4 linked regions of the Rhinolophus ferrumequinum genome follow. The protein of the gene in region 1 purifies or fractionates together with the protein of each later gene. This does not show direct contact. Links are inferred from orthologs where the notes say so. Each region holds a gene or a part of one and is shown on either strand. Other genes may lie near its edges.

The links.
Region 2: the proteins of BCL7A (region 1) and PHF10 purify together in Homo sapiens (affinity purification with mass spectrometry; 3 studies listed by BioGRID and IntAct, counting the BioPlex papers as one, with this or other methods). This does not show direct contact. The link is inferred for Rhinolophus ferrumequinum from reciprocal best matches to the Homo sapiens genes BCL7A and PHF10.
Region 3: the proteins of BCL7A (region 1) and PBRM1 purify together in Homo sapiens (affinity purification with mass spectrometry; 3 studies listed by BioGRID and IntAct, counting the BioPlex papers as one, with this or other methods). This does not show direct contact. The link is inferred for Rhinolophus ferrumequinum from reciprocal best matches to the Homo sapiens genes BCL7A and PBRM1.
Region 4: the proteins of BCL7A (region 1) and DPF1 purify together in Homo sapiens (affinity purification with mass spectrometry; 3 studies listed by BioGRID and IntAct, counting the BioPlex papers as one, with this or other methods). This does not show direct contact. The link is inferred for Rhinolophus ferrumequinum from reciprocal best matches to the Homo sapiens genes BCL7A and DPF1.

The regions. Positions count from the first base shown.
Region 1 is NC_046308.1:5,321,044-5,328,641, forward strand, and holds the start of BCL7A (B-cell CLL/lymphoma 7 protein family member A), read right to left. Parts: upstream 3,015-7,598; 5' UTR 2,797-3,014; coding exon 2,705-2,796; intron 1-2,704.
Region 2 is NW_022680354.1:2,535,774-2,543,423, reverse strand, and holds the start of PHF10 (PHD finger protein 10), read left to right. Parts: upstream 1-4,645; 5' UTR 4,646-4,689; coding exon 4,690-4,776; intron 4,777-5,506; exon of another isoform or gene 5,507-6,144; intron 6,145-7,087; coding exon 7,088-7,194; intron 7,195-7,650. UniProt on the Homo sapiens protein: Involved in transcription activity regulation by chromatin remodeling. Belongs to the neural progenitors-specific chromatin remodeling complex (npBAF complex) and is required for the proliferation of neural progenitors.
Region 3 is NC_046300.1:48,259,734-48,267,660, reverse strand, and holds the start of PBRM1 (protein polybromo-1), read left to right. Parts: upstream 1-4,911; 5' UTR 4,912-5,032; intron 5,033-7,631; exon of another isoform or gene 7,632-7,773; intron 7,774-7,927. Other genes in the region: GNL3 (guanine nucleotide-binding protein-like 3), read right to left, coding at 344-431, 855-972, 1,217-1,329, 2,111-2,243, 2,986-3,069, 3,239-3,352, 3,458-3,595, 3,965-4,023 and 1 more. UniProt on the Homo sapiens protein: Involved in transcriptional activation and repression of select genes by chromatin remodeling (alteration of DNA-nucleosome topology). Required for the stability of the SWI/SNF chromatin remodeling complex SWI/SNF-B (PBAF).
Region 4 is NC_046298.1:37,699,838-37,707,185, reverse strand, and holds the start of DPF1 (zinc finger protein neuro-d4), read left to right. Parts: upstream 1-4,342; 5' UTR 4,343-4,362; coding exon 4,363-4,472; intron 4,473-5,864; coding exon 5,865-6,025; intron 6,026-6,112; coding exon 6,113-6,220; intron 6,221-7,348. UniProt on the Homo sapiens protein: May have an important role in developing neurons by participating in regulation of cell survival, possibly as a neurospecific transcription factor. Belongs to the neuron-specific chromatin remodeling complex (nBAF complex).

The sequences.
Region 1 (7,598 bases):
TGAAATAAATTTGAATTTCAGATACACAATGAGTAATTTTTTTTCAGTATAAGCATGTCCCAAATATTGCATGGGACATACTTATATTTAAAAAACAAAAACAAAAACACCTATTTTAAAAATTATTTTGTTGTTTACCTAAAATTCAAATTTAACTTGGTATCCTGTCATTTTATTTGCTAAATCTGGCAACCCAGCATCCCAGCCAACGGTGAACTGCATGGTTGGTGGCCACGCAGTTAATAAACAACCCAACGTCTGGAGGACTGACTGGAAGACCCCTTCTAAAGGCAGAGTGAAGGTGAGATTTGGCTTCTGGAGGCCGGAGAAACCCAAGATATAAGGCAGGTTTTTTTTTTTTGTTTGTTTGTTTGTTTTTGCCTAGAAGAGGCAGGAAAAAAAGAAAAAAAATCAGCAAAATACAAGTTCGACAGAGCCCACCTTATAATGAAGACATTTAATGACTGCTCCAGTGTACAGGGGTAAGGGCTGTTGGAGACCCGCTCTTATTCTAGTGGGGGAGTGGGGAAGGAAGCAGCACAGAACCCCTTTGCTGCCATGGTTGGAGAAGTACCATGGTTTGCCCAAGGTCACGGAAGGAAGTTACCTGGAAGCCCAGTCCAGCCTTGAGATCCCAAGCCTGAGGTCTTTACAGGACTTGACAGGTTGTTACCCAAAACACAAGCAGGGAGGGACATAAGTACTCCTCCCCTCCCCTAAACACAGGCTGGGCCTGCAGTGGGTTCAGCAGCATCCAAAGCCTCCAGGCAGGCTGCTCTGGGGCCCACAGGGTGGAAAACCCCATAGTTCCATCTGCCCTCCCTGCAGAGCAGCTGCCAGGCAGGCCCTACAGGAGCAGCTGTCAGGGTGCAGGAGCCTCTGCCTGGCTGGGAACCTGGGGCAGAAGGCCCCACCATGCCTCCTGGAACAGAAAAAAGCAGCTTGTCCCCAGCCTTTCTCACCTCCAGGCCTGTGATAGAAGGGACTCAGGCCCAGACACCAGTTTTTCTCTTTACAAAGGCGCTAAGATAGGGGACAACTCCAGCCTTCCCTCTGGAAATCCCACAGGAGAGGGGGCTGTGGACTTGTTTTCCGGTGTGTGTTTTGCCTGCAGCTGTTTCTGCCATTTTTAAATGGGTCCAGTCCCAATCGGGGTGCCCTGAGCACTAGCGGAGCTCCCACAGCACGGAAGACTTGGATTTCAACTTTGGAAAGTCTCCCCTTCTCACGGTTCTGAAAATTCTTTGTCCCATTGGAGCCAAACCCAGCCCTCGGCCGGGCATCCGGCCATCTGCAGACAGCCCTTTCCATAGGAGGCCTGGGAGCACGTGGACTTTATTGATTTTCCTCCTGCCTTTTTTGTTGGGTTTGACTCAGAAAGGACAACTAACTTGTGACACGGCTAGACTGGATCCTGGCCCCCTGTGGTTTTTAGAGACCAAGGCGTTACTCAAGAAATGACACCCCTAAACATAAACATAGTCCTCCACGGGGGGCCTGCCCAGTTTTCAGGCTTTAAATAAAGGGTCAGGACGAGCCCGCCGGCACTGACACTCCAGCACGTCGCGGCTGCTCCTCTCCCTCCCTGACCCTGGTGAAGCCGTGGGAAAAAAAAATAATAAAGTTGAAATCAGGGAGCTGGGAGTTTTCAACAAGTCTGCCCCAACCTGGCGATGTGCTGCGTCTCGGGCCTGGCCCTCGGGCGACTCCGAGTCAGACCCCGCCGGGGCCAAGCAAACATTCAGTTCTATTAATTACAATAAGGCCACGCCGGACACTAGCTCGAGCTGGAGAAACACGCGCGGCCAACCCGGAGTCTCCCTTTCCCACCACCCCCCCACCCCCCGTGCAGAGAACAAAAACAACGGCTCCCTCCGCAAAACAAACACGAGCTGCTGGTTTGGGAAAGGCAGACGCGCGGCCCAGGACCGGTTTCTGGGCAAAAACATTGGCTCGCCCGAGCCCCGCGCCCGGGTGCCGGCTGGAGCGGGTGCAGGGGGTGCCCGGCGCCCCGGGCCCCGCGGCGCCCCTCCTCGCGCTCGCCCCCATCTTGCTTCCCCGCCAACAGCCCTCGCTCCAGGCAGCCCAAAGCGCTAAATTTAAACGGCTCGCGCTCTGCAAACTCCGCAGACTCGAGGGCGCCGGGCCTGGGAGGCGGGGAGCGAGCGAGCGAGCCGGCTGGGGAGGGAGCGAGGGCGGGAGGCCCGGCGCGGGCAAGGGCGCGGGGGCCGGCGCTGCGCCGCCCGGGGCGCGCGGGGAGGAGACGGAGACCGCGGCGGCCCGCTCCGCGCTGCACAATGGAGCTCGCGCTCTCCCCTCCGCCGCCGGCATCGCGGCCCCGGCGCGCGGGAAGCCGCTTTCATGTGACTTGCACAAAACGAAATGGCTTCTGGGGCCGGCCCCGAGCCCCCCTTCCCGGGAGCCGAGCGCCGCGGCGGGGACTGCCCGCCGCTCAGCCGCCCGGCTCGGGGCGCCCCCGCCTCCAGGCTGCCACCGCCGCCGCGCCAGGTGGGCGACAGGCGCGAGCGCACCTGGGCAGCGGCCGCGGCCCCCGCCTCGCGCAGGTGACCCGGCTCGCGCGCCGCCCGCCCTCTCCAACTCCCGGGCCCGCGGGCGGCCGGGACGCTGCGCCCGCCGGCTTTTTGTATGTGGTCTGGGGTCGGGCGGCCGCGGCGCCGAGGGGGCGAGCTGCGCCTCCGCTTACCATTTGCGCACTTTCTCAATAGCCGCCATGACCCTCTTGATATCATCTTTGGCCCGGCTCCTGGTCTCGGCTCGAACCGACCTGCCCGACATGGTTCTGGCGGGGAGAGAGAGGCTGCGAGCGCGCCGCCGGGTCCTGCTCGCGCTCCGCGGCGGCCACACTCGCGCCCGCCCGCCGCTCACTCACACACACAGACTCACACACACAGACGCTCACACACACACACACACACACACATACACACACACTCACTCACACACACACGCACACACACACACATACACACACACACACACACACAAAGCCGGGGCCGCCGCGCGCCCGGGCCCAGTGCGCAAGCGCCGGGCGGCAGCTGCTCGGAGCAGGGGGAGCAGCGCCGCCGCAGCCGCCAGCAGTGCGGCCTCCGGGCGCCGCCTGGCTGCGCCGCGAGCCTCCCACCCAGCCCGGGGACGCGACCGGGGGCGCCCGGCGACCCGGACCCGGCACGCGGAGGGGGCAGCGGGCGGGCGAGCGCACGGACACTCACCCGGAGGCCGCAGGTGCCGCGGGGTCCTCCGGGGAGGTCGGGCCGGCCGCGGAGGGAGCGCGTTCCTTGGGAGCCAGCCCGGCGGCCGGTCCGCCGCCCCGGGTTTGCGGCAGCCGGTGCAGTAATGCAAGTTTCCTGCGGGGCTCTTGACTTCGCGGAGTTGAAGGCGACGATTCGGGACGCGAGTGCTCTTGGAGACAGTTGAGAAACACGGAGCTCGGCTGGCCCCCGTGGAGACACCCGAGCTAGGACGTCGCTTCCCTTTCCTGAATCCTTTGGAAAACGGGGGTCGGAGGAAAGGTGCCACTCGCGACCTTGCTTACTAAGTAGCATTCGGCAGGGAAAGTTCAAGAGTGATCAGCATTTTAACCGGGGCTCTGCTTGCCCCTGGAGATCGTGGCCCTCACCATAAATAAAGGGCCCGCGCTGGGTTTGTCGGAGAACCACGATTTAAATGTAAGGCCCTCCCGACTTAAGTCCCAGTCTCAGAGCAGATGCCGCGACCGCACAAATGACCCTGGCGCAGGTAAAATGGACGGGCCGGCCTACAGGGACGGCTCTGCACGTTGTTTCTTCCCCGTCCAGCCCCAGGACAGCTCTGTGGAGGAACCCACAAGTATCAGGACAACTCAGGTGCCCCATGTTTGTATTCAGGTGCAGCTAACCAGACTTGACCAGAGCTAATTCACACCCAGATGGATGCTGGGGAAAGTGGGAGTGACCCTGTCAGCAAGCCTGGGGCATTGGAGATAAACTAGCCCAACACCAGTCATCTTACACGTGGGGAAACGGAATCGCAGGAAGTTCAAGGTCATAGCCATAGCTACTAGAACTCTGACTCCCACTCACTCTAGAACCAAGCAGCTTGCCCAGAGGTTTTGGTTTTGGGTAGAGAAGCTATGAGGGTAATGGAGTGGGAGATTGCACTGCAGACCGTTTCCTGGTCATGTCTTGTTACCATTCTGAACCACAAGTTACTAATGTGAAAGATGAAGGTACACTGAGAGAATCATTCTGAGGAGAACAAGGGAAAACATGTAACAGCAGGCCCTAAAACAGAGGTCTCACACTGTCGGGGTCAGGTCAGCTGACATGCGCTTGGGGGCCACACAGAACTTTTAAATATATATATATATATTTGAATTTAAAATAGCAAGATACATCAGAAATCCAAGTATGGACTGATGAATGGATAAATGCGTGTATCTGTTAAGCAGGAATGAAGTCCTGACACTTGCCACAACATGGATGAACTTTGAAAACACACTAAGTGAAAGGAGCCACTCACGAAAGGACAAATACGGTATGATTCCACTTACATGAGATCTCTAGGCAAATCCAGAGAGACAGAAAATAGATTGGTGGTTGCCGGGAAGGGGGGTATACGAATGGGGAATGACTGCTAATGGGTACATGGGGTCTCCTTTTGGGGTGATGAAAAAATTCTGGAACTAGAGAGGTGATGGTTGCACAACATGGTGGATATACATAATGCCACTGAATTGTACACTTTAAAATGCTTACAATGCTTAATTTTATGTTATAGGTATTTTACCACAATGAAAAGAAATCCAGATATCTACAAACTGGGTCCCCAGTACCACATGGCAACAATCGGCTGTAGCTGAGAACTTCTGTGTCCCCTCAGACAAAGCTCTCCAGATCACCAGTGTGTTACCCGGTCTTTTTACTCATTTATTACCAGATGGCCCCTGAAGGAATTTGTGTATCTGATTTCTGATTAAACTGTAAAGCTTTCTACAAATGTTCTTTATAAATCTGGCATGTCGCTTTTTATGGTTTCCTGACCACTGCAGAGATTTTAAAACTTCTTTCTTTCAACAAAGCACAGTTATTTTATCGTCTGTGTCTGATCATTCTAATATTTGAAGTATCTGAGGGTCTGTTTCTGCTAGTTCTTGCTCATGGTGTCCTATTTCCTTGTGATCTGCCTGGTTCTCTCTGACCATGCTGAACACTGTATTTGAACATGTATTTATAGGGATAATTTGAGGTCGAGGATGAAGTTACCTTCTCTGAGAGACGTTTTACATTTGCTCTGCCAGGCTCCTGAGGGCACTGCTAGTCCAGGGCGACCTCCACCGAGTTCTGGGCTTGTGGGTCCCTGGACCACCCAGGTGATGCCAATACAGGCTGCCCAATTGAGCAAGACTGGTTTGTTTGCTGTACCCTGAGGACAGGGTCAGTGATGGGGCAGCTGGCTGACAGACCTGCACTTCTTTACTTTGTGTTCAGTGACCTCACATTGATAGTCTGAAATCAAAAATGGGAGCTTTTACACTATGGTAATCAGCAAATGCTACACATCAGGACCCTTTCCCCAACGCCACTCGGAGCTGGTTGGTAAACATTTACCAGCATACCACTGATGGAGCCTAACGGGATCCCCAATTGTTGTGGGGAAGGTCTCCCCCAACGTGTGAGCCTTATGGTGAGTTTCAAATAGACTGGGGAGGCCTTGAAAAAAAAGAAAAAGTTTTCTGTTAAACCAAACACTGCCATTTGCCTCGCAGTACTATAACCACAACTATAAAAACTCACCAGCTCAAGACACCAGTGGATTGGCAATTTGCATCCCCATCCGTGCAGCCATTGGCTTGCCTAAAAGTTGGGCCATTTGGGGTCATATGAAAATAAAGAGATAGTATATATATATATATATATATATATATATATATATATAAAGTGCTTTGAGAAACTAATGTGTTCAAAGGTGAGACGTGTAATCCAGACACTCTTCTAACAATGAATAATTAAACGCAGGCTGTCTGGTCATGACCCAGTGACCTGGAGCAAAGCTGGAATCTGTCCATAAACAGGCTTGGCGAATTCTCAGGTCAGGAATCTCAAGGCCGCCCAAGTGTCTGCAGCTTCACTCCCACATGTGCAGTCATTTTGGCTGCCCAGCGTCTGAATACCCTTCCTAGTTCTGGGTGAGCCTTTGGGGGTGAAGCCACCCTCACCCCATTACGGAAGCTCTGTTCACCCACGGAGTTAGGTCCTGGGCCTGGGGCCCAACTTAACCAGTTGGTGGATGGTCTAGGCAGTCGAATTTTTAAAATAATAGCTTTATTGAAATATAATTAAAATACCTTAAAAATTCACCCTTTCAAAGTGGTGTTTAGTATATTCGCCGAGTGGTGAAACCATCACCACAATCAATTTTAGAACATTTTTATCATCCAAGAAAAAAACCTTTTACTTATTAGCAATCACTCTTCCTCTCCCCTTGCCCCAGCCCCTGGCAACCACAAGTCTACTTTTTGTCTCTATGGATTTGCCTATTCTGGACATTTCACATAAAAGAAAGCATACAATATGAGTCTTTTTGTTTCTGACTTCTTTTGCTTAGCATAATTTCAAGGTTCATCCATGTTGTAGTGTGTATTAATACTTCATTCCTTTTGATGAATGAATAGAATTCTATTATGGATTTACCACATTTTGTTCATTCATTCATTCATTCAGTCAGTCATTCATTCATTGACATCTGGGTGGTTTCCACTTTTTGGCTGTTGTGAATAACGTTGCTATGAACATTAGCATACAGGTTTTTATGAAGATGTGTGTTTCCATTTCTCTCACCAGCGTACCTAGGAGTGGAATTGCTGGGTCATAGGGTGACTCTCTTTAACATTTTTGAGGAACTACCTGACTGTTCCAAGGTGGCTGCACCATTTTACATTCTCACCACCAGTGAATGAGGGTGCCAATTTCCCCACATCCTCACTAATACTTGTTATTATCTGTCAGTTTTACTTTAGCCATCCTAGTGGAGGTGAAGTGGTATCTCACTGTGGCTTTGATTTTGACTCTGATTTTTTGTGGGACAGGAGGGGCAGTGGAGAAATAACCTAGAGCAGAAGTGGCCACTGGAGAACTAAGAGGATCGGAGGCACTGAGCTCCCAGTGGTGGCACTACCACTGGCATCCTGGCTGCCTTTGGTTCCTGCTCATTTCCAGACCTTGCTTCTCCAGTCTCTCCATTGATTCTGTGGGTTACCCAATAGTCTTCAAATACAGTCCCTTTCCACTTAAGCTAACCAGAACCCATTTCTGTTGCTACAAACCAAAGATAGTGATTGATACCGTCTTCAAGCTGCCCCTTACTCTCGTCTCTTGTTGCAATCCTACACTCCGCCCCAAACTATTGTAAGAGTCTCCTCACTGTTGTCCCGTTCCCCAGACACCCCCTCCTGCCCATTACCCGGTTCTAGGCCTCTAAGATGCCAATTTAATCCACTTCTCCCCTTCACTTCAATCGGGTTAAACATCCTCCATTCCATATACAAGACCATCCAGCACGTAACCACTGCCTTCCCTGGCCACCGCCCCCAGGCACCTCTC
Region 2 (7,650 bases), on another chromosome or scaffold:
GTGATTAGGACATTTGAAAATGACAACAGCAAAGCCTAGATAGGATGACCGCTATGCCTGGCTGATGGTACTGTAGGAACCACAGGGAGAAAAGCCAGTGAGCAGAAAAAGCAAGGTCAAGTCGTGTCAACATTTTTTTAGTTTAAATTGCTCTCAGAACAGAAACCCATGTATGTAGAGAAAGACCTTCCTCTTTGGATAGAAAACTGGAATAAAATAAAATTCCCAGTCTGGCTAGCGAGCACACAGGAGCCAAGTGCTGTAGTTGCCATGTTGAAAAAAAACTCATTACAAAGGGACTGAAAAACCACCTTTTCCTGCCAGTAAAGCTGCTTCTGTCACTTTATAAGTCGACGTGAATTAATATTGAGCTACCTGGGAAGCTGCTAGCTCCAGTCAGGGTGCTGCTGTGACTTCAGATGAGTGAGAGCAAGCAGTTGTGGCGAAAGGATGAAGATGTCCAGAGGAAGAGAAACTGGTAACAACTTCACTTTAAAGAAACTCTTGGAGATACTTTACAGCATTGAAAATGCAAAACAAAATGTTGGAAACTACCCAAGCTCAGAAAAAAAAGTATGACAACGTATCAAGATATAGAAAATATAAGTCATAGGATGGGCAGAAGGCAAGCACACTTCAAACTACTCTTGGAAAACTGTTTACAAAGAAAATAATTCTCAGTGTTTCTCATGTTCTAAATTGCAGTGTGCTCAGTACATGTAAGTTTCACAATCAAAAACATTCCATATACATTTATAATTGGCAGTAAGGGAGTTTGATGTTTTAACAAAAGTTTTTTTAAAGTCATAGAACAATTGCAATTTTTCTCTTTGATTCTTAAAATTGCTTTGCATGATTGTGGGTTCTGTGGTCATTCTTATAGTCCTGTGGCATCCGGCAAAGCTGGGACTCTAGCTTCTCAGTTCCTTGACTAACTCACGCTCAGTGACCTTTTCCTGTAGCTCACCTGGGTTCACCCTGTAGACCTTGTGATTATCAAAGTCAATTTGACCTCTGAACTTGCAATTCCAAGCAGGTTATTCTCATGCAATTATTTCCTGTCCTTCCTGCTCACCACTTGTAGTACCTGAAGACAGCCACTCTTCAATCTTATTGAAATCTCCAATTCATTACCTTCCCCCACTATTACTAGTCCTCTTCTTGTCCTTGGTCATCTCAGCTGTCATGGCCCATCAGTATAATCACTGCCTTACAAACACACTCCAGGTCCCTTTGCCTCTTTTCTTCACCTGGGAAAACCCCTTCCTGAATGGACCCTATTACCCACTTGACTAGCTTGAATTCAAGTAGCTAAACTTGACTGAGAACATTGGAAAACTAGACTGACTGGTTGCACTTTTAACTCATGACCCCAAACCTCCAGAGGGCAAACCACTTGGCATCCTGGAAACTGCTCTTCTACTGTCTACACCTTCTTTCTCCTCCAACTCTCTGTATCCCTCCTTCCCACTCGCTTTCAGCTGATGATCTCACCTCATACTTTATTAAGGAAAGAGAAAGTATCAGAGGAAAATCCTTCAGGTTTTCCACCAGCAAATCTCTAACCCTACTTCCATCTGCAGCCGCATTATGTGTCCCTTCTGTGCCGAGGGATGGACCAGCCCGCTCCCAGCAGCCGTGTCCTCTCTCTCCTGTCGCCATGACTCGCCCTCTTACTGAGTCATTCTTGTCGGCATGGTGCCTCCCATCTTCAAAACATGACCCACCCCTCTACCCTTTTTCTCTGCCATTACTCTTTGCAATCATACTGCTTCCTATACTCTGGCTACAGTCCCTAGCCTCCTATTGCTTCCTTAATTGACTTCAATCTAGTTTTGAAACTGCCACTCCACTGAAATAACCTTGAAGGAATTAAGGTTGCTCCTTATCCCCAAATTGCTAAACACAGCGGGCATTTCTCTGTCCCCTAACTCAACTTCTCAATTGACATAGTTGACCAGTCCCTCTTTTTGAAACACTAGCCTCGCAGCTTACGGTACTCAACTCTTAGTTTTCTTCCTTCTCTATTTCCATGTATGTCTCTGGATTTCTTGGTCTCTGGCCTTTTTCTCACCTGTATCTACATATTCTAAGTGGTCTCATACAGTTTTTTGCCTTTTTCTCTTTACCACTGTATTGCTAGTGCCTAACTCAGGGCCTAACTCGATAAATAGTAAGGTAGTATTTGATAAACAAATGAGTGAACACATGATTCTTTGTATTTCTATCACCTAACATACGGTAGTTCTTAGTTCATAGTTGGTTTCCATTAACTATTTGTGAAATAATTGAGTGGACATTATTCCAATCCTACAGATGAGGAAACAAGAGGGTCAGAGCATAAATAATGTATCCGTGATCACACAGCTAATCAGTGGCACAGCTGCCATTCAAACTAAAGTCTTATTTTCAAATCTTTGTTCTCGTCATTACATCATATTGCCTCCCTGCATATTTATCTCTAACTCCTAGACTCTGCCTTCATTTACCCTATTCTCAAGCCAAATTCAATGACTGATGTACCTGAATATGGCATGTGTCCTATTTTCCCAGCTCTCAGTCTTTTGGGGCTTGAGACCCTACTTCCAGTTCCAATTGTACATTTTCCTGTAGCTGTCCAACCAATCTCTTAGGATACTTTTCAAATTCCAAGTCAACCCTGACATCTTAATTTTTCTAGTTGCAAGTAAATTTTCTCCCACTTAAAGCTCCTTTTGTGTATTTGTATCCTATTCTTCCAGCATTGAAATACCTACAGGCAGCGATTGTAATCCACATAGTGACTCCTTAATGTTCTGCCTTGCCTTGGTGGAAAGGCCAAATTCGTAATTGTTGATTTGGAATGAAGAGTTTTAAATTTTATTTGAGCTAGAGACAGAATTCCCAAGGGAGAAGAGTAGAACCGAAAAACAATATATATATATATACATTAAATTCTCCAGAGAGTCTGACTGAGAGCCTTCATCAATTAAGAGAATTTGGAGAAAGATGCTGATTCTTGGCCGATCAAGACACTGAAGGGTCATTTTCTGTAGTGGACTCTTGGTAGTGAAATGGGGAATTGAGAAAGCAAAGTCTAGATTAGGAGCAGTCTGTGAGACTGAAGTTGTTGTCGATGCCATTTGTGACCGGGTGCAAGTGGGGTCAGGAAAGGGTGGGCTCAGAGAGTCAAAGTAGGCTGTTTGTGCTATGTCATGGGCTAGAAGTAATCCCTTTGTTTTATGTTTCCAAACTTGTCCGCTGAGTGTAAGCAAAAATAATGAACGAAAAGGAAGCCATATTGAGCTCTAAATCCAAGAACATTCTCTATTGTCCCGAAACAAGTCTTGTACTTTCTAAGATAATAAAGTGTCTGCTGAGGGATCAACTTTAACAAATTTCTGGCACCCTTGTCATCTTATCACAGCTGTCTGCCATGTGTTGAGGTTCAGTTCCTGAGTTTTTAAAAAATTTTGGTGAAGTTGTAGACCTGACGGGGTGAAGCCTAAGAACTAGGATTAGGAGTAAACTCAGTTCCAATAAAACAGCTCCAATTTTCTTGGTGCCTTTCATGGGCCTATCATGTACTATGCATGCCCCTTACAATAATCCCGGAGACTCGGGTTTTTCTCCCCTTAACAGGTGGGAAAAGAGGTTAAATGAGTTGCCAAGGCTGGAATAAGCACCGGTGCCAGAAACCAAACATCAGTGTGGTTCCCAAACGTCCTGTGGCCTCTGCAGCAGTGTCCCCTGGCCGGTTGCCTTAGGAAGCTCCCTGCAGCCTCCTCGGAGCCACTGTCGGTCCTCGGTCCTCTACGGCAGGCCGTCCTGTTGTCTGTCATGCGAGCGCAGAGTCACACGCACGCAAGCTGAATTTCAGCAGCTTCTGCGGTTACTGGCTTCGGCCGCACTGAGGTGGACGTGATCAACTTTTCAAATGGAACCGGCTGCGGACGTCATTGGGTTGTGCACATGCACGGCAGGTGGTTCTGAGCAGCACAGCCAGGCTGAAGCGGAGGACAAAGGCAGGCGGGGCGGCCGCTGGGCAGGGGGCCGCGAGGCAGTGGGCAGGGACCTCTCAGCCCGCGGGACCCAGCGCACCGCGACCCGGCGTGGAGTGGGGGTCAGGACGCGGGACCCCGGGGGAGGGGGACGGGACCCCCGGGCACCGGGAGGGCGGGCGGGGCGGGGCGCGCGGCGGGCGCGGTGGGAGGAGAGGGCTGACGTGGAGGGGCCGGGCCGGGGGCGCGGGGAGGGCGGGGCCGGGCCGGGGGCGCGGCGGGAGGTGGGGCGGCGGAGCGCGGGGCTGCGGCGGGCGGGCGGGCGGGCCTGGGTGGCCGCGGCCCGGGGCGCGCGGGCTGAGGGAGCGGCGCGGCGGCGGCGGCTGCGGGCTGCGGGCTGCGGGAGCGGCGGGCCGAGGGCCGCGGGGCGGCTGAGGGCGGCGGGCGCGGGGGCCTCGGCCGGGGCCGAGGGCGGCCGGGCGGGCGGGCGGGCGGGCGGCGCGCGGCGCTGGCGGCGGCCATGGCGGTGGCGGCGGCGCTGGCGGGCCGCGGGGCGCGCGGCGGCAGGGGCCGGCCCCCGGGCGGCGGGCGGGCGGAGGGGGCGGGGCCCGGGCGGCGGGCGGCCCGCGCGGCGGCGGCGGCAGCGGCGGCGGCGGCCGGGACGAGGCGGCGGCGACGGCGGAGGCGGCGGCGCGGGGCGCTCGGGCTGATGGCGGCGGCGGCCGGCCCCGGGACGGCGCTGTCCCCGCGGCCGTGCGACAGCGACCCGGCCACCCCGGGAGCGCAGTCCCCGAAGGTGAGGAGGCGGCCGCTGGGCGAGCGAGCGGGCGGGCTGGACGCGGGGCCGGGGCGGGGGCCTGGGAGGCGCGGAGGCCGCAGCCTCGGACAGCGGCCGGGCCCCCGGTGCGCAGCCGGGACGGCCGCGGCCTGTTCCGCTTCCGCATCCTCCGCGCGTCGCGGCTCGTTTATAACCGCCGAGCGGCCGCCGGGCCGCGGCGGACACGGAAGTCAGGGAACTGGGCCGTCCGTGGGCCCGACACGCCGCGGGCCCCGAGCGCGCCCCGGGAGTTGTGAGGAGCGGCGGGGAAACGCGGCCCCTGGACACTCGGCGTCCTGGCGACTCCGCGGCGGCCCGAGAAGACGCCGTACTTGGCGGCGTCCGGACGTAACCGGACTTGGTGTCCCGGAGGCGACGCCGAGTGGACGAGACCACCAGGGGCCGCGGGACGCCGTGCGGTGCTGCGTGCTGGGACCAAGTTTGTAGTTTGTGACACAGGTTGGAACGGAGGCGTAATTTTAAGAACCTCAAGCCTTAAGTTGTTGAAAAGTTGAAATTAGATCCTGGGAGAGGACATTTGCGATGGATCCACCTCTTTCCTGAAGGACCGTGTCGCCGGGACCCGGGAAGGGTTTCGCTGGCGGGAGCGAGGCCGCCCTGCCCCGCGGCGCCCGCGCCCCGCGGTGGAGCGACGAGCCTGAGCCGCGCGCGGCGCGCAGCCTTGGAGCGGCTGGAGCCCGTCCCGGCTGCGGCGCTCGGGCCTGAAGCACCGGTGTGGAGAGACACTTAGGGGTGGACCACCTGTGACTCAGGGGCAAATGTCTGACCTAGTCAGGTGGCAGTCCTCAGACGTGGACTTTAGTGTCCCCATTTCTTAGCCAAGGGAAATGTACTTAAACACGTGGACATAAAAATTCTTCAAGTGCTCAGAAGCAAGCAAAATAGCAACACGTGATACCCGGATGCTTAAAAGGCATCATGCCTGAAGTATTGAATATGAAATGGTTCAATTGTGATACTTACTGTTAAATGTACATTTTTGGAGAATATTTAGACAGTTCTCCACATCCGAGCTGGCTGCTTGCCTTAGGAATATACAGAGCTCTTCCCACTGAATGCTTATTTTATAAGAATCAAAAAGGAGAAGGAAAATATTCTGCATCTTTTACTTTTTGGGATAGAATCAGAGTAAATTCCTTACAGCTGGGCCATTGGAGACTTCTAAATTGTCGTCGTCATCATCATCATCATCATCGTCGTATTAACTAACTTTTATTGGGCTCTTAATTTTTTTCTGGATCTTGCTTTTAAGTGCTTCCCATCTAGTAACTAATTTAATCCTTGTATTAGCCAAGCAACACAGGCACTATTCTCTCCATTTGACAGGTAAGGAGTGGCTCAAAGAGCATAACCGCTCAGCTAATGAAGGGCAGGGCCCAGACCCAGGCAGCCCAGCTTTGGCATGCCTGACCGACATGCCTTACTTACTACCTCTTTATCTTCTTCTGCAGGATGGCTTTGCTTTTAATACTTAGCAAGAGGACCCTGGTATTTAACGAAATTGTATTAATCTTAGTAAGCTACATTACTTTGATTTAAAACAATGTAAGCCTTCTAGTCATTAAGCCTTAGCTAATATGTAAATATATCAATTTCCTAACATTTGATACTTCACTCATTTCCTTAATGATCCAATTTACAGCCTTGATATTATAATCCCATAATGCATAATGTCACTTAAAAAATTTTAAGCCTCTCCTTTTTTGGGGGGGAGGGTTTTGCTTGATGACTATATAGATTGATGACTCTTATTAGGGTATATTATTGCTAAATGTTTACAATGTAAGAAAAAAATGGAACAAGACTGGTAATCTGTTTTTAGTCCTTGTATGTCTTTTCACAGGGATATAAGTACCTAAAATAGCCAATTAGTATAAACCAGGTGTGAGTCAAGTGAAACAGGAAATGATCCCTCCATATATTTTGTTCTTACCTGAGGTAAGAAGGTTTGCTCTAATTTTAGAGTTGCCGCAATTTTATGTTTGTTTAAACTAGAAGGCATTTTAACCTTAAGTGAGAAAGCAAAAGTAGATTTAGATTTATAGGTTAATTGAGTTTTTTACTTGTATGGAAGACCAGTTTTTAGTTTTTTCCAGGTCTTGCCCATGCCACATTCTGGGCTTCCTTTTAATTTTAATGGAAAGTTAGCATTTATATAACCAGCTGTGCTTAGAAAGTCTTCAAGTGCGCCTTTTAGCAAGTCTGAGAAGATACGTTCTTTACATATTAATCTTTCTCTTATTATTTTTTGAATCCTTTTAACGTATAGGATGATAACGAAGATAATTCAAATGATGGGACCCAACCATCCAAAAGGAGGCGAATGGGTTCAGGAGATAGCTCTAGGAGTTGTGAAACTTCAAGTCAAGATCTGGGGTACTGTCGTTTTATTGCTTAATAACATTTTTTGTGGTATGTTTCTCTTCTCTGCATTAGCTCTCCACTCCCCTCCCCCTAGCTCTAGTAAAAGCAGGTATCAAAAATTGTAGAATGTTTTTTCTCACATTTTACAGTATGACACCAAAGTTTGTTTTGCTTTCCATGCAATTGAGTGTTTTTTTTTTTTTAAGTTTTGCATAAAATTCACTATTTTAACTGTTTTTAAATGTGTAGTTCGGTGGCTTTAATTCATTCGTAATGTTGTGTATACCATCAGCACCATCCATTTCCAAAACTTTGTTGCTACTGAAAACAGAAACTCCACAACCATTAAGCACTAAAAATTCCCATTTCCCTCTTCCCTCAGCCCTGGCAATCACCACTTTACTGTTTGTCATTATGAATTTGCCTATTCTAGGTACCTTGTATAAGTGGAGTCATACAATATTTGTC
Region 3 (7,927 bases), on another chromosome or scaffold:
AAGCACTACATGTTATAGCTTACATATTGACCCAAACACATGCTGTTTCCTCTGCATAAATGTTTCCCCTCTTCTACCTGGCAGACTTCTATTCATTTCAAGGCCAGGTTCAAGCATCGCTTTCTCTGAGGCAGCTTTCCCCCTCAATCTATTTGCCAGTCTTTCAAACCAGATTGTGGGCAGTTATTCCACTCTAATTCTTCCCCAAGCCTAGTACTGGCTTAACCCTCTTCCTTTCACTGACACCTCTAAAGAATGGGAAATTTTCTTTCTTAAGATATCCAAAACAATCATATTTACTCATCCATAATGAAACACTACGATATGGAACAACACAGTTTACCTTGTAAGCCCCATGGATACACCGACATTACATATCCGTTCTTGTTTTAAGCTATTGATGATGCTGCTTTTCCCCACATTTGGGAAACCTATAAATGGTATAATAAATCCACAGATACAAAAGGCATTAAGTGCTGGTAACGATAACATTTCCACTGCTTTATTTTATGCTTGCTTGATGTGTAGAGCAAGATCAGAGTTGAATCTGAGTGTCTTCACTTCATTACTAAGGTCAATCTTAGCAAACTCATTTCTTACACAAGTAATAAGAGCAGGAAAAGACGACTAAAATAAACCAAGAGATTTTAGAAGCCAACTTCCTACAGTGCACAGTTGGCAAAAAAACAGAATTAAGCAGCAATCACTTAAAATTTCTGTCTTTACATTGTTTGTATGTATTCGGTAAGGTGGGCAAGAAGTTAGTGTTTATGTTTAGCAACAACCCCATACACTCTTAACATGGAAAAGTTCTTGGAACTTTAAGACATAAAATGTGTTGAACTGTAACTCACCAATTACTCCAACCTGAATAGCTTTGCCCAACATCTCCCGAAAACCTCTAAGAAGCTTCCAAAGACCTTCTTTCCCAATGCAGACTTCACTTTTGAATGGAGCAGCTTTCCTCTTTACCATCACATTAAAAATGCAAGTAATTAGTTTAACCACTTCTGACAACCCATCATATAAAACTCGAAAATCTGGCTTCAGAGCCCAGCCATTAAAATCACATGCCTTTCAGATTACCTCTGGATGAAATCAGAGTTGGATCTTATAAGTTCTCATTTTTTTAATCAAGATTTTGTATACTCATCATATTTCAGCCATCCAAAAATCTGAAAGAAACACATCCCCCGCCACTGACAGTAAAGGGTACCTTGGTTATCTTCCGTTTGTCCTTCAGATTTGTTGAGGCTTTGAACACCACTGTTGGCAATTCCTTCTTCAAATAATTCAGCCAGTTCTCCAAATTTTCCTTTGGTACCAAATCTGATAGAGATTAGGAATAAGACACATGCTCCAATTTGGTCATTTTGTTGAGATGAATTTGCAAAACATGGTAAACTGCATTTCACTCTGGTTTGCCTTTTGTTTGTTTTCGCCCCCAAAAGGATTTAACTGGAAGATGGGGAGAGCACAAACTTCCAACCATATACCATCCTTATCTTAACAGTGTTCAATATTTACACCTCTGTATTTCTTCAATTCTCCTCTGTACTGCTCACCCTTTCAGGATTAAGTCAACCTCTAGATTATTACCCTACTAACCCTAGGGCTATGTTTCCAGAATTTACTCTCCAGTAGCAGCCATGTTTACTGACCCCAACAGTAATTTTAGATCCCATTGTTACTTTCTGCTTCACAGATCTCTGAGTTTTCCTATTCCTGCTGTTCAAACCGATACGTAACTATGCATTTTATCTAATAATTGTCACACAATCAACATTGTGCAGGTGTGGGGAATGACACACTATCATCACTTCCTATGTGAAATATATTACGCAGTAAGCTGAGTATAGAAGCTTACACTCTTAAATAAGGTGATAAGTACTGAATGGCAAAAGGAGAGCAGAAACCAGTGAAACCACACGTAGAAAACACCTCCACCCCACTGTCCAGCATTGTCTTTAGCAATAAGAAAGGAAATGCACTGGTTTTGGTGAGGTCAGAGTTGGATCTTATCAGTCTTCAGTGACAATCAGACTGTTCAGATGTTTTCCTCATACCTCACTAGTGCGTATGGAACACAAAGGGCATCCTTTTTGCTTACCTGATTTATTTAATACAAGTACCAACTTTTTCTGTCCACCCTGGACAATGGCCTCTTCTACCTGGGGACACCTGCAACCAAGAGGATCTCTGGCATCCAACACTTCCAGCACAACATCTGAGGCTTCAATCACCTGTCAATGTATAAATGATCAGAAGAGCAACCCTTGCTTTCAGAACACCCTCCACACAAGTATACTGAAATTATCCACTTTGCAACAATGTGATATGGAGAATGTCCGTTCATTTCTCCCAGGAAAGTAAAACACAGGTTTGTTCAGTAGCTTCTGGCCTCTCATTAAAGTAGATTTCAAAAGCGGAAACACCCCCACTGTCTGAATATATAATCTTCCCATCGTGAATTGGGTAGTCTGCTAAGCTCTTGTGGCTCTGCCAAGAGCTGATGAAAAGCATAGTCAAGTTCTATTTACAGGGGAGAATGAACTTGGAAAAACAGGTATGAAGGGTGGGAGTGCTGGGGAGCAACTACACCAAGACACCCTCTTGATCTACTTCACTTAGGTTTCAACAAAGTACTTTAGACTCTTATTTTCACACTGCTTACTCTAATGTATTTTCCTTTACTTTAAAAACCACTGTGCCACTTTAACACAATGTCACTTTAACACAAATACCACCTTTGTAAATCATGTTTATGGGGAACTGTTCTGTTGCAAAAGTTTAAAACCACAAGAATATTTCCTTCAGCTAACTGTAACAAAAAGGCCCTAAATAGGATAAGCCAATTTGCTGAAGGCTTCCTTCTAGCTCAAGTGAACTCTACTCCCAACTTTATAAGGTTGGTGCCAGGAAAAAGGAATGACTAGTCTTTTAAACCTCAGCACCCATTTTAGACACTGACCTAGACTAAGATACCTTTTTGAGTTCCTGACAATACAACTTCTTTGGATTCTGTTTGCCTGCCTTGGCTTTGTTCTTAGCGTTGCACTGCCCAAATTCCTAAAGGACAAAGACAAGGGGAAAAGAACACAGAATTAGAAATTCAGCAATTGTAACCTGTTTCTCCATTTTCCATGACTGATTAGGGAGGCCACAATGCCTGCCCTGTTATGTGCTTTTACTTCTACATCAGAACTCATCTCTCATTCACCAAGAGACCTAATCGTACCTCCTTCACAAGTTCCACATTAGATGGCTCAACATCAGAGTTAGTGTCAAGTTTTCTTTTCTTTTCCTGTTCTTTCTGCCTGTCAAGTTTCTGCTGCTGTTTTAGTTCTTCAAGCTGTGTCAAACCATAAGAGAAATGGGTGAGCCAAAGTGACTTGGTATTGTTATTTTACTATGAAAAAAAAAAAAAAAGTTGAGTATTTCAGCTAAGGTATCTTACCCGCTGTTTCCTTAGCTCTGCTTCCCGAAGAAGAGCCTCCTTAAAAGGAGCACTGTTTGGAACTCCTAGGTCTTTCCTAGATTTTTTGTGGCCCCGTTTCTTAGCCTCCTTCCTCAATTTTCGATGGTGTTCTCGAACCTATCATAATAAATTTGTCAGTTTACAAAAATGCTACACAAAATCCTTGTGAGAAACAAATCGGGCTGCAGTTTAGTTATACCTGTAAAATGACCCAGAAAAATGTAACTGTAATTGTATCATTCGGAGACACATATTTATGCATAAAACATCAAGAAAATGTCACCAGAAGTTTTTTGCAGAGGTGGTTAACATGTTGATCAAAATTATAGACTTTCTGATCAATGAATTACTGCTCTTTCCCACAACTGTACTCTTGATACCTAAGAGCTTGTGAGATAAGATCATAATAATCCAGGCCTCCTCCTGGAGAGGTGAGGCAGAAATCAGCATTATATCTGGTATAGCTCTCCCAGGCACAAGACTTACCTTTTTTTGGATCTTATACCGCTTATGGCAGGTCATGCGTTTACTTGCTTTCTTTAACTCTACACAGAAACACATCACAAAAAAATTAGACACACACGATCAGTTTGTTTAATTTTTGGTCACCTCCCTTTCGGTGTTAAGTAATTAATAAGCTCTTAAATGTAATTTAAGAATCTTGTGGGGTACATAAAATACACATGCCACTCAAATCCCTGAGAATTTGACTCAGACCCAGAGTAGAGCCCAACTTCCCTGCTCCCACTCTTCTCATTTTAGCCTGGGATCGTACTCAGGAATGTGAGACCCAAAACGACATCCACTTCCTTGTCAAACAACACGAATCACAACGCACGGGCGAACAGTGGATTTGAGAGGCGGTTCTCAGACCTCACTGGAGCCGGACTGAACGTGGCGCTGAAGGGAACAGGCTGAGCCCTAAACCTGGCTCAGACACTGTTTCCTCACGAAATTCTGGTCTGATCTCCACCTCTGGGGCCCAGTCCTCCTTCTCCATTATGGGCCCTGCGGTTAACGTGGCTCCTTCAAACACTCGGTTCTAACCAGAATCAGGGCGATGGCCGATGGCCTACCCGCAGATCCCCATTGCCACAGAGAACAAGCCGCAGAACAGCACCCTGATGGATTCGTCGACCATCAGAGGGAAAGGAGCCTCCCCGCCCGCTCCCCGACCACACTCACTCGGCCGCTTCATACTGGAGGTCGGAACCGCTGTGGCGGCAGAAGCAGTACCTACAACCTGCCTCCACCGAGGCCACGTGTGAACTGAGGCCACCGGCGAGCGTCACGCACTCACGCTGCCGCCGTAAAGCGCGCCGCCTCCGGCCCGCGTGCGCGCGCACGCAATGTCGCGCGGAGCCAGGTTTGCTTGGCGGCGCCAGGGCTGGGTTTGCGGCGGCACCGGGAGGGGTGAGGGCGGTGAGGGCGGCGGGTGTTGGAGTGTCGGCCGCGGCCGCGGACGGAGGAGCAATAGCAGCAGCCGTGGCGGCCACGGGGCGGGGCGCAGCGGTCGGGGACCGCGGCCGGGGCTGCAGGCGGCGGAGCGGCTGGGTAAGGCCGGGCCGGGGACGGGCGGGGCCGCCCCTCTTCGGCTGGCTGCCGGGCCTTTGTGTGGGCCCTAGCGGGCGGGAGCAGCGGCGGAGGCCCCGCCCCGGCCGTGGGGACGCGCCGGTCTGGCCGGGTGTACGAGGTGGGGCGGGGCACGGCGGCGGGCACCGAGACGGGCCCGGCAGCCGGGTGGCACCTGCCTGCCGGGACAAAGGCGCTCCGCGGCCCGGAAACGCCCCGCGCCCCTCTTTCCCGCCCCCGGCGGCTGGCCGAGTGCTCGTCGCGGGCAGCTTCAAAGCTGTCAGCGTTTTCCCTAGTGCCCCCTTACAAGTGACAGGTCGGGAAAGTGTTTTATTTCCTCCGCAGGTCAGGGCCTTCTTTTTTTGTTGTTTCTTGACAGTCCGGACACAAACTCTTCTAGTGATTTTGCGGGTTTTTTGGTACACTTCCTCGATGACTGTTTCAGACCGAGTATTTTTATCAATGGGACTTGTATTTGTAGTTGACGCTCGATATTTCTTATCTGCAACATCATAAAGAATCGAGGTTTTCAAACTGTACATTTCTTGTTTTTAATATTTTTCCATCTCTTAAAATATTTTATTGAGAGGGAAGCATAGTTTTGTTATTATAGGGTACATATTGGTGACGTAGAAGGGAAGCTTGGCAAAAACGTAGAAGAAATTCTGAAAAACAAGTGACAAATACACAGTATTATGGATATAGAAATTTTTACAATTACAGAAACGTGTTGGAGTAAAACATTTTTGTTAACTTATTCTCCAACAAACGAGGTCTCCTCAGAAAATGATTTTTAGGTTTTTTTTTTTTCCATTTAGAAGTGCACTCTTTCCCAAATATCAGAAGCAAATTGAACTCAATACAAGTAGTATAAGAAAGTAGTATAATTTTTGCTGTATTACTTGTTAACAGATTGCTTATATTTTAAAATCCAAAGGAAGATTAAAAAGCATCTTTTAGAGAAAGTTTTAAATTAAAACAGTAACAGATTTATGTGTGGATAAATGAAAGGGCCTTGACCACTTTCTTTGGCTTTGGGAGTGTACAGAAGACCTCAGGTATTAATATTGTACCCAAATTCCCAAGATTAGGAAGTTGTGATATATCCATATGGGGATGTTAGACAACTATCGAGCCATCAAATATCGTGTAGAAGAATGTTGACTTGGAAGAATCTTCCTTAAGTTAAAACAGGCTGCAAAATAATACATATGGTTTGTTAACGCTTGTGTTTAAAAAAAAAAAAAGAGCAACTAAGGCATAGAATAAATACTGAATGCTGTGAACGCCAAAGATAAGTGTGTTTTTTCCTCAGAGAAGTAGGATTATAAGTGATCGTTTTTTCTTTGAATCGTGTTTTCCACGACTTGTTTTAAGCATGTGTTTACAGTAATAAGTATCACTAGAAATACAGCGGAGTACTAAAAGTTTATAAACTGTCAAAATATACCGTTTGTCTATACTGAGTAAATACTTTCCCAGTTACACATTATGAAGTTATTCTTTAGTTTATCGTTGGTTGTCAGACTTTGGACATGTGAACATAATGCCATTTTAAAATTTGTTATCCAGCTTCAGAATCTATTTCTTTCCTCTTCATGGAAAAAGGATTGCTGACGGGATGCTCACAGGCTTTTTAAATTACACAAACTTTTTTCAATGTCCCATGTAAGTGCCCTTTTAATACCTTTATTAAAAACAAATTGATCACCCAAACTATACCAAATATTATTCTATAACCAGGGCTGCAAAATGAATAAAATTCTTTTCCTGTGCCCACGGAGCATGTACTCCGAAAGTTGAAACTTAACATTTTTGTTGTGCTTTGAAGTTCCAAAGTGATTTCACATACATTTCATTGTCATAACAATCCAAGGGAGATATGTACACTTTACTGTTCTCATATTAGAAATGAATAAACAGAGCTGCGGTTGTGACTCAAGCAACATCAAACAGATAATTAGAGGTGGAAAAACTGGGACTCTTGTCTTCTGGATTCAGGTCCTATTGCTCCTCCCACCCAACTGACCACATTTCCTGTCTTGCCAAACTTCCAAAATGTATTTTAAAATGTGTCCTTTGGTAAGGAGAACTGACTCCGGGTGGTGAGCACACAATGGCATTTATAGATGATGTAACACAGAATTGTACACCTGAAATCTATGTAATTTTACTAACAATTGTCACCCCAATAAATTAAAAAAAAAAGTGTCCTTTGGATAAAAAAAATATTTGAAAATTATCCTTAAGTTGCATCTTTTTCTTTACTTACCAAAGTAAATTAATGATTCAAGGAGTTTTGGATATTGTATGGTCTAAAGTATGCATACACCAATGATTTATATTTTTTTGTCACTTGATTTTCAGCGGATTATTTATAAAAGTAATTTTGACCTACCAAAATGGTTGAAGTTTTTTGTTTGTTTGTTTTGTTTTTAACCTCCCTAAACTTGTACGTGGTACCTTCCCAATGCTGATAGGACTTTTGGAAAGAAATGTCTTTCTCTGAATTTTTTTTTTTTTTTTGGCGGGGTGGAGTTTTCCATACTCTGCTCACATGAACCCATTCTCTGTTTGTTCCAGCTTGCCAACCCTTGGTGTCACATGTGAGCCTTCCACATGTGTTCGCTCTCCATTCCAGCTCTGTGATTGAACTCTGCTCTTACTGACTAGGGGGCATTTGGGCAGGCATGCTTCATTCCTGGAATTGACAGTCATTCCTTGTGAGTAAAGGGGAACTTCAGTGAGACCTCTTTAAGCACAAGTATTTGGTTTTAAAATGGAAGAAATATCAGGTACTTTTAATGCCTGAGCCTTTGCAGCAGTTTGTTTCATTGGCACAAGAAAACTGATACGCCTATTTTCCCCAGTTCTTTT
Region 4 (7,348 bases), on another chromosome or scaffold:
CTCGGGCTCCGCTGCTCGCCCCTAGACTCCAGGTCCCGTCGTGCGCCGGGAGGCGCGGGGATTGGCCCAGCCCCGCCCCCGGCCCGCCCCGCTCCGCTCGCGCCGCAGCCCTAAGAATGAATGAAATCGTAGCGCGCTGGGCGGCCGAGCGGGCGGCGCAGGCCGGGCTGGGCCCGCGCGCGGCGGCAGCGGCGCCCCGGGCCGGAGGTGGCCCAGCCGAGCGGGCGATGGCCACCGCCATTCAGAACCCGCTCAAGTCGTGAGTGTCCCCGCTGTCCACGTCCCTCCACCCGCCCCGCCCTTCCCCCCGCCCTTGCTGGGGAAGGGGATGCACTGCGTTGATGGTAGTTGAATGCCCCCTCCGGAGCGCCCCCACACCCCTAAGGCGCCCGCCAACCCCTGTCTCCCCATGGAGTTGGGGGCGGGAACCCTTCTAGGGTCGCGGGGGCGCCTCTTCTTTGTCGCTGTCAGTGAAGGAATGTGGTGCGGGTTGGGGGATGGCAGAGGCCGTTTCCCCACCCAGAGTGGGGGTAGGGGCTTCCCTCTCCTCCTCCTCCATCTCTCCTGCTCCGTGTCTCTCGGGGCGCCGGGCCTTCCCCAGCGTGAGGCTGGGAGTACGCACGCCTGAGTCCAGACCTCAGTGTCTGGGGACTCCACCACCCTTGCCCCTCATTGAAACACCTTTCTCTCCTCTTCCCTGCCTCTTTTTCCCCGGACCTCGGTCCACGCGGCCGCAGGGTGGGAGCTGAGACGTCGGGGGTCCCTGTTGTCTCCTCTTTTTTCCTCCTGGGTCTTCAGGTCCTAGAAGCCCCGATGCCCCCGTCAGCTTAGACTGTGGAATCTCTCTCTCTTCCCCGCTCATACACATCTAACTCGAGCATCTCTCATCCCCTTGGGTACCAGATGCCTCGGGAGAAGGTGCTGGGAGCGCCTTTAGTCTCCGGGGATTCCCTCTCTCCCTGTTCGCGTTCCTTCCTCCGTGCGTTAGCTTCCTCCCTGGGCCCAGTGTCTGGGAACCCGGACACCTTCGTGCCTAGCTCCTTCCCATCTCTCCCCTCTCCTTGCCATCCTCATTCTTTCCATCTCTCTCTCCCTCTCTCTCTCTCTCCATCTCCATCTCCATCTCCATCTCTATTTCTTTCTCCCTTGTCGGGATCCCGTACACCCAGGTCCCAGCGCTCCCCACCCCCCTTCCCCTGGCGGTGACAGCGTGCTCGGAGTGACAGGCGCGCGGCCGCTCCCGCCCTCCCTCCCCTGCTGGCGAGCGCGCACTCCCTTCCCCCTTCTTCCCGGCTTGAGGGAGAAGACCAGGGGCAAGTGCCCGCGGCGCCGCACAAAGGGGCCGGGCGACCTCCCCCACCTTTCCCCCCGACCCGGTGCGCCTGCTGCCTTGACCTTGAGCAACATGTGCTGGGGGCTTGAGGAGAGGGGAGGGGCACGGGAGCACCCCCCACTCTAATGCCCCCAGTTGTTTCTGGTTTCTGGCGGGGAGAAGTTGGGAAAGGAGGGTGGCTGGTGGCTTTGCGGTGAGCAAAAGAGGACTTGGACAGCCGGTGTGGGGCTGGGGTCAGTGTGAGATGGTGTGTGATGGAGACACTTTTCTGCCTCCCTCTCATTCTAAGTCGTACTCACAGACAGATGTCTTCCTATGAGGACGCCATGCCCTCCAGCTGGCTGGGACTGGATTCCTGTGCCAGTTGGTGGATCTATCGGCATCCAGGCCTCTTCACTCTGACCCTGGCCTAGACCTCTAGGAGGAGGTGAGGGACAACCCATTGCAGGGACCTGGAGGCCAGAGTTAGCATTGGGGTGGAAGTGCCAGCACCCTTCCTTCTTTGCTCTCACTTTTCGAGGGTTCTGCAGAGGTGAGGATAGAGACTAGCTCCTGAAAGAATGTGCAAGTCTATTCCCCTTGGGAGTGGGAGGCTGGGGGTGCAGCCCTTAGGAATTCTGCCTGCCTGCATTCAAATCCCAGCTTGAGCCATGAATCCCCCCTCCCCCCACTTCAGTGTTACCATCTGTGTATTGGGGAATCATAACAGTTCTTATTACCTCTTGGGGCTGTTTGATCTTTGTAGAGCACTTAGTACAGAGCCTGACCCTGACTAAATGTAGTGATTAGTAGTAGTAGTGTCAATACTGATTTCATTTGTGGTCCAGTTTCCCACAGGGCATTGGGGGGTGGGGATAGGATTGTTTGGGCAGGGGAGAGAACTGGGAGTTCAAGTGTGGGAGAGGGGTCAGTGAAGGTGAGTGAAAGTGACTGACGGGGTAGGGAAAGGGAGGGAGACTCCTCTCTACCATGTTTCCCCGAAAATAAAAGCTAGCCGGACCATCAGCTCTAATGCGTCTTTTGGAGCAAAAATTAATATAAGACCCGGTCTTATTTTACTATGACTGGGTCAATATAATATAATATAATGTGATATAATATAATACTGGGTCTTATATTAATTTTTGCTCCAAAAGACGCATTACAGCTGATGGTCCGTCTAGGTCTTATTTTCAGGGAAACAGGGTAAGTGTCAGCCTGGGTCTGTGGGTGGACAAGGGCCTCCAGGAGGTGATGGAGTGTCTACACTCAGGCTCCAAAACGATGAGAGAGTTTGGGGGTGGGGCAGTAGTGAGCCAGGATTTCTGAGGCTAGGGACGTAGGGAGCAAGTGTTAGCGGGTGTGTTGAGGGATTGGAGGGTGGTGGTGGCAGGTGAGAGAGGAAGGTGGCAAGGGTACCCTCTGAGCTGAGCTGACAGGTCAGGGCCACGGCTTACTGTGGATGACGTATGGAATGGCTGTTATAGGGGCCTGGAGGCCATAGTGAGCATGCGGCTGCCACAATCCCTGACTTACTCCCCTTGCCACCTCCTTTGGGCCAGATGTGAAGCAGAGACCCCTCCCTCAAGGCCTTACCTCCTTGGGGGGTGATGGGGAGAGTGTGGAAGGGGTCTAAGACTAGAGGTGTTTGTGTGTATGGCTATGGGAGGCCTGAGGGGATCTCTCACCAGGGTTAGGTGAGGGAATCAAACAGAAGGGGTGAAGGCTGGTATGCCTCTTGTGTCTGCTGGAGAGCCCCCTGGTGGACAGGACGTTGGTAGGTGTTTTCATTTATGCGAGGCTCAAACCTGAACATAAAGTTTGGACTAGGAGTGCTGTGGGTGTGTGCATAGAGACTGAGCAAGTGTGTGTGACCGGGTGAATCAGCTCACTCTCTGGGTATCTCTTAGGGTGGAGTCAGTGTGGATGACAGTGGGAGAGTGGGAGAGAGAAGGTGGTAAGGCCCACTTGGGGATAGGCACCTGGGGGAGTGAATCCTTCCCTGTCACACCTTCAAACAGCCTGTTTTGGGAGGCTGTGGGGCATGTAACTTCACCTCTCTGTGCCTCAGAGTCCTCATCTGGAAAACGGGAGTAATAATATCATCACCCTGGAGGGTCATTAATCCCTGTAAAGCACTTAGAACTGTGCCCAGCACATGGTGGGTGTTCAGTATATTTATTCATTCATTCAACAAATATTTATTGGGCATTTACTATGTGCCAGGCATTATTCTTTCTAATGGTAACAATATCACCATTTTACATCTTAGTACATATCAGATCCTCTTTGTGGGATGAATGAATTTATTGAGCACCTACTACCTGCCAGGTACCTTTTAAAACACTTCACTTATGTCATATAATCCTTACAACATCCAATGAGGCACCACCCTCATTTTGCAGATGAGAAAACCGAGGCCCAGGAAGGTTAAATTATTTGCCCAAGGTCACATGGCTACCAAGTAGCAGAGCCAGTATTTGAACCTAGAGGAATATGGCTACAGCTCCTAACTAGCACTGCTGCTGTCAGGGCTGCGAAAGGTTTGAGTAGGGCAGGCGGGGGGTCTCTGTGAGAGTGGGACAGGATAGGGTTCTCCGGAGCTAGGAGTGACTGGAGGGTGGGGAGGGGGCGGTATTAGTGAGTCCAGCGTCTGCACGAGCCGCGGATGTTGGTGGGACGTTTGTGTAGGCATCTGTAAAATGTCTGAGTCTCCTGGCTCTGAAGTGTGTGTGTATGTGAGTGTGTGAGGTGTGGGAGTGGAGTGTGCTTGAGTGGGCAGCAGTGAGTATACATGTGAATATGTGTGTAAACTGCCGTGTGGGTGTGCGAGTCCGATGTGCGTGTACGCCGTGAGACCAGATGAGTGTATGAGTGAGCGTGTGTGAGTGACTGTGCGTGCTGCCCGGCCCCACCTCTGCACCCTCTTACCCGCGGGGTCCCGCGATCTCCCAGGCCTGGACTACGACTCCCAGAATGGCCCAGGCGGGCCCGCCCCGCCGCCGTGATTGGCTGTGGCCCTCTTGCTCCCGCCCCCCGGGAATGAATGGATGGGCGGCCTCCGCGCCCGCCCGTGCGCTGGGAGGACCGACCCGGCGGGGACCTGCTGGGGGCAGGACCCGGGGAGCAAGATGGCCACGGTCATCCCCGGCCCCCTGAGGTGCTGCAGGCAGGCGGCAGGCTGGGGAGGGCATGCGGGCGGGTCTGCGCGAGCGTGTGTGTGTGGCAGCTGGGGGTGGGGCCGATGGGTGTCTGGGGGGCTGTCACCGTGGGCCCGACTGCGCGGGGGTGCGAGTGTGTGACTATGGGTCTCTGACAAGAACGGGGTCCGATGCGCTGATCTTGGAGGAGCGGAGTGTGGGGGGAACTCAGAGTCCTCTTCGGGTCCTGTTCGAGGCAGGGGTCAGGTCCCACCCTGCGACTACCCGGGTTGGGGAGAGGGTGAAATGGCGGGGGGGTGGGCGGGCGGGGTGCGCGGACCTTGGTAAACTTGAGTGAAGCCCACACTACCTTTGTCTTGGGATGTGGAGTGTGTGTCACTTGTTTGTTTTCTGGTTTTTCTGGATATGTGCATGGAGATGTGTTTCATTTCTTTTATTCCACACTAGGTATTGGGTATTTGGGTCTTGGAGTGTGTGTACATGTCCTTTGAAACTGTGCATCATTTGTGTTCTGTGTCTTTGGATATGTAGGTATGCATCTATCTATGTGTAAATTTTTGTGTGAATATGGGTGGATTTGTCTGTTTTTATGTTGTATATGTGTGTGTCTTTGTGTGTTTGAATATATGGTATTTTAGATGTTGGCTTCTATATTGTGTATCTTTGTGAATGTGTGTATCCTGTGTGAATCTGATTTCTTTGTAGTGTGTGTGTGTATATGTGAGATTTGTCTGTGTTGTCTGTGGATATGTGTGTAAATGCATATGTGGGTAGTTTGTTTTAACATTTCTTTTAACATTTGTGTATGTGTGTTTGGATGCATAAGTGTATGTGTTTGGATGCATGAGTGTGTGTGTGTGTGTGTGTGGTGTGATCTGTTTGCATATTGTGTGTCTTTGTGTGGGTGATTTGTTTATGTTGTGTATCTTTGGATATGGGATGTGTATTTGTACATGGATATATGTGTGATCTGTCTGTTTCTATACTGTGTGACGGGATATTTGTGTTTTTCAGTAGATATGTGTGTGTGCACATATGTGAGACTTGTCTGTTTCTCCTTTGTGAGTCTTGGGATATGTTTCTCTTTGTGTGTGAATCCTATGTGATTATGTGTGATTTGTGTTGTGTGTTTGGATATGTGCATATATGGATAGGTCCCACTGTGTTTTTGTTTCTATATTGTGTATGGCTACTCGTTGGCTTACTTGAGTCTCAGGTGGGGGGTTCCTGGGTCCAGGAGCCAGGAGCGACCAGAAGGGACAGGTGAGGTTGGCAGAGTCGGCCCACCCGTTCCGGATGGCTGAGCCGGGGGAGGGGTACTGGGCGCCCTGGCGCGCCTGCCCTTGCTGACAGCAGCCCGCCCGCTCACTGCCTCTCATCGCGCCTCGCAGCCTAGGCGAGGACTTCTACCGCGAGGCCATCGAGCACTGCCGCAGCTACAACGCGCGCCTGTGCGCCGAGCGCAGCCTGCGCCTGCCTTTCCTCGACTCGCAGACTGGCGTGGCCCAGAACAACTGCTACATCTGGATGGAGAAGACCCACCGCGGGCCAGGTACCCGCCAGGAGGGCGGGGGCGGGGCGGGGCGGCGGCGTGGCAGCCGCGTTCTTACTGCTCTTCTCACCGCCCTGCTCACTCCAGGTTTGGCTCCAGGACAGATCTACACATACCCTGCCCGCTGTTGGAGAAAGAAACGGCGACTCAACATTCTGGAGGACCCCAGACTCCGGCCCTGCGAGTACAAGATCGGTGGGTGGAGCTGCCTGTGCCTGGGGGAGCCCCCATGAGTGTCCCCAGCACACTCTAAGTGTGTAGCGATGCCAGCGTGTGTCTGAGCATTCGCCTTATCTCCCTCCTAGAGAGTGTGTGAGTGGCTGGCTGTGTGTCTCCTGGTGTGTGCTTGGGTGTAGTCCAGAGTTTCCCGTCTTCCCTGAGTGACTGAGCTTGGGACGGTATGGTCTCCTATGTGGGCCCAGGTGTATTTGAGAGCGGACTGGTGTCTGTTATGTGTGTTTAAGTGTATCCAGTCTTTGTATCTCTTCCCTTGTGAGCTGGGATGTATCAGAGAGTCTGGCTCTGTTTCTTCCTGTGGGTGACCGAGTGTGTCTTGATGTGTTGGAGTGTCTGGGTATAACTCTTGCCATTGTAATAGAGTGTATCTAAGTGTCTGAGCCTCTTTCCAGGTGTTTCCAAGTGTATTAGAAGGTTTATTTTCTCGTGTGTGTTTGGTCTGTCAGGATATCTGGCTGTTCCTGAGTGTGTCTGGGTATAGCAGGGTGTCCGGGTGCCTCTTCTGTTGAGCGCCCAGATGCTTCGAACATCTGGGAGGTTATCTTCTCCTAGTGTCTGGTGTATTTCTGCTCATGTGTGTTGGTCCACCAGAGTGTCTGACCTTATCACTTCTTGAATGTGTCCAGTGCTATCAGAGTCACTGGCTATTTTTCTTCCCTTGTCCAGGTGTACCCAAGGTTCTGTGTGGGTCCAGGTGAATTAGAATGTCTACCTGGGTGTATCTGATTGCTTCAGAGGGACTGTGTGGATCTTCCCTGTGTATCCATCTGAGTGATTTTCTCTAGTTATGTCTATCTCCCCCATGTGTATCCAGGTGTATGGTAGGGTCTGGCTGTGTCTTCCCCATGTGGGTATGGCTGTCTGATGGTCAAACAGTCTCTTTCTGAGCATCCCTGGGTGTATCCAAGGGTCTGCATGAGTCTCCTCCACGTGTCTGGATGCATCTGAGTGGGTATGTCTCTTCCTTTGTCTGACTATCTCAGATGATCTGTCTGTATCTCCCGTGTGTATGTTCATGTGTATCCTGTTTGACTGTCTGTCTCTCTCCATATTCGTCCAGGTGTAAGTGAGGGTCTCGCTGAGGTA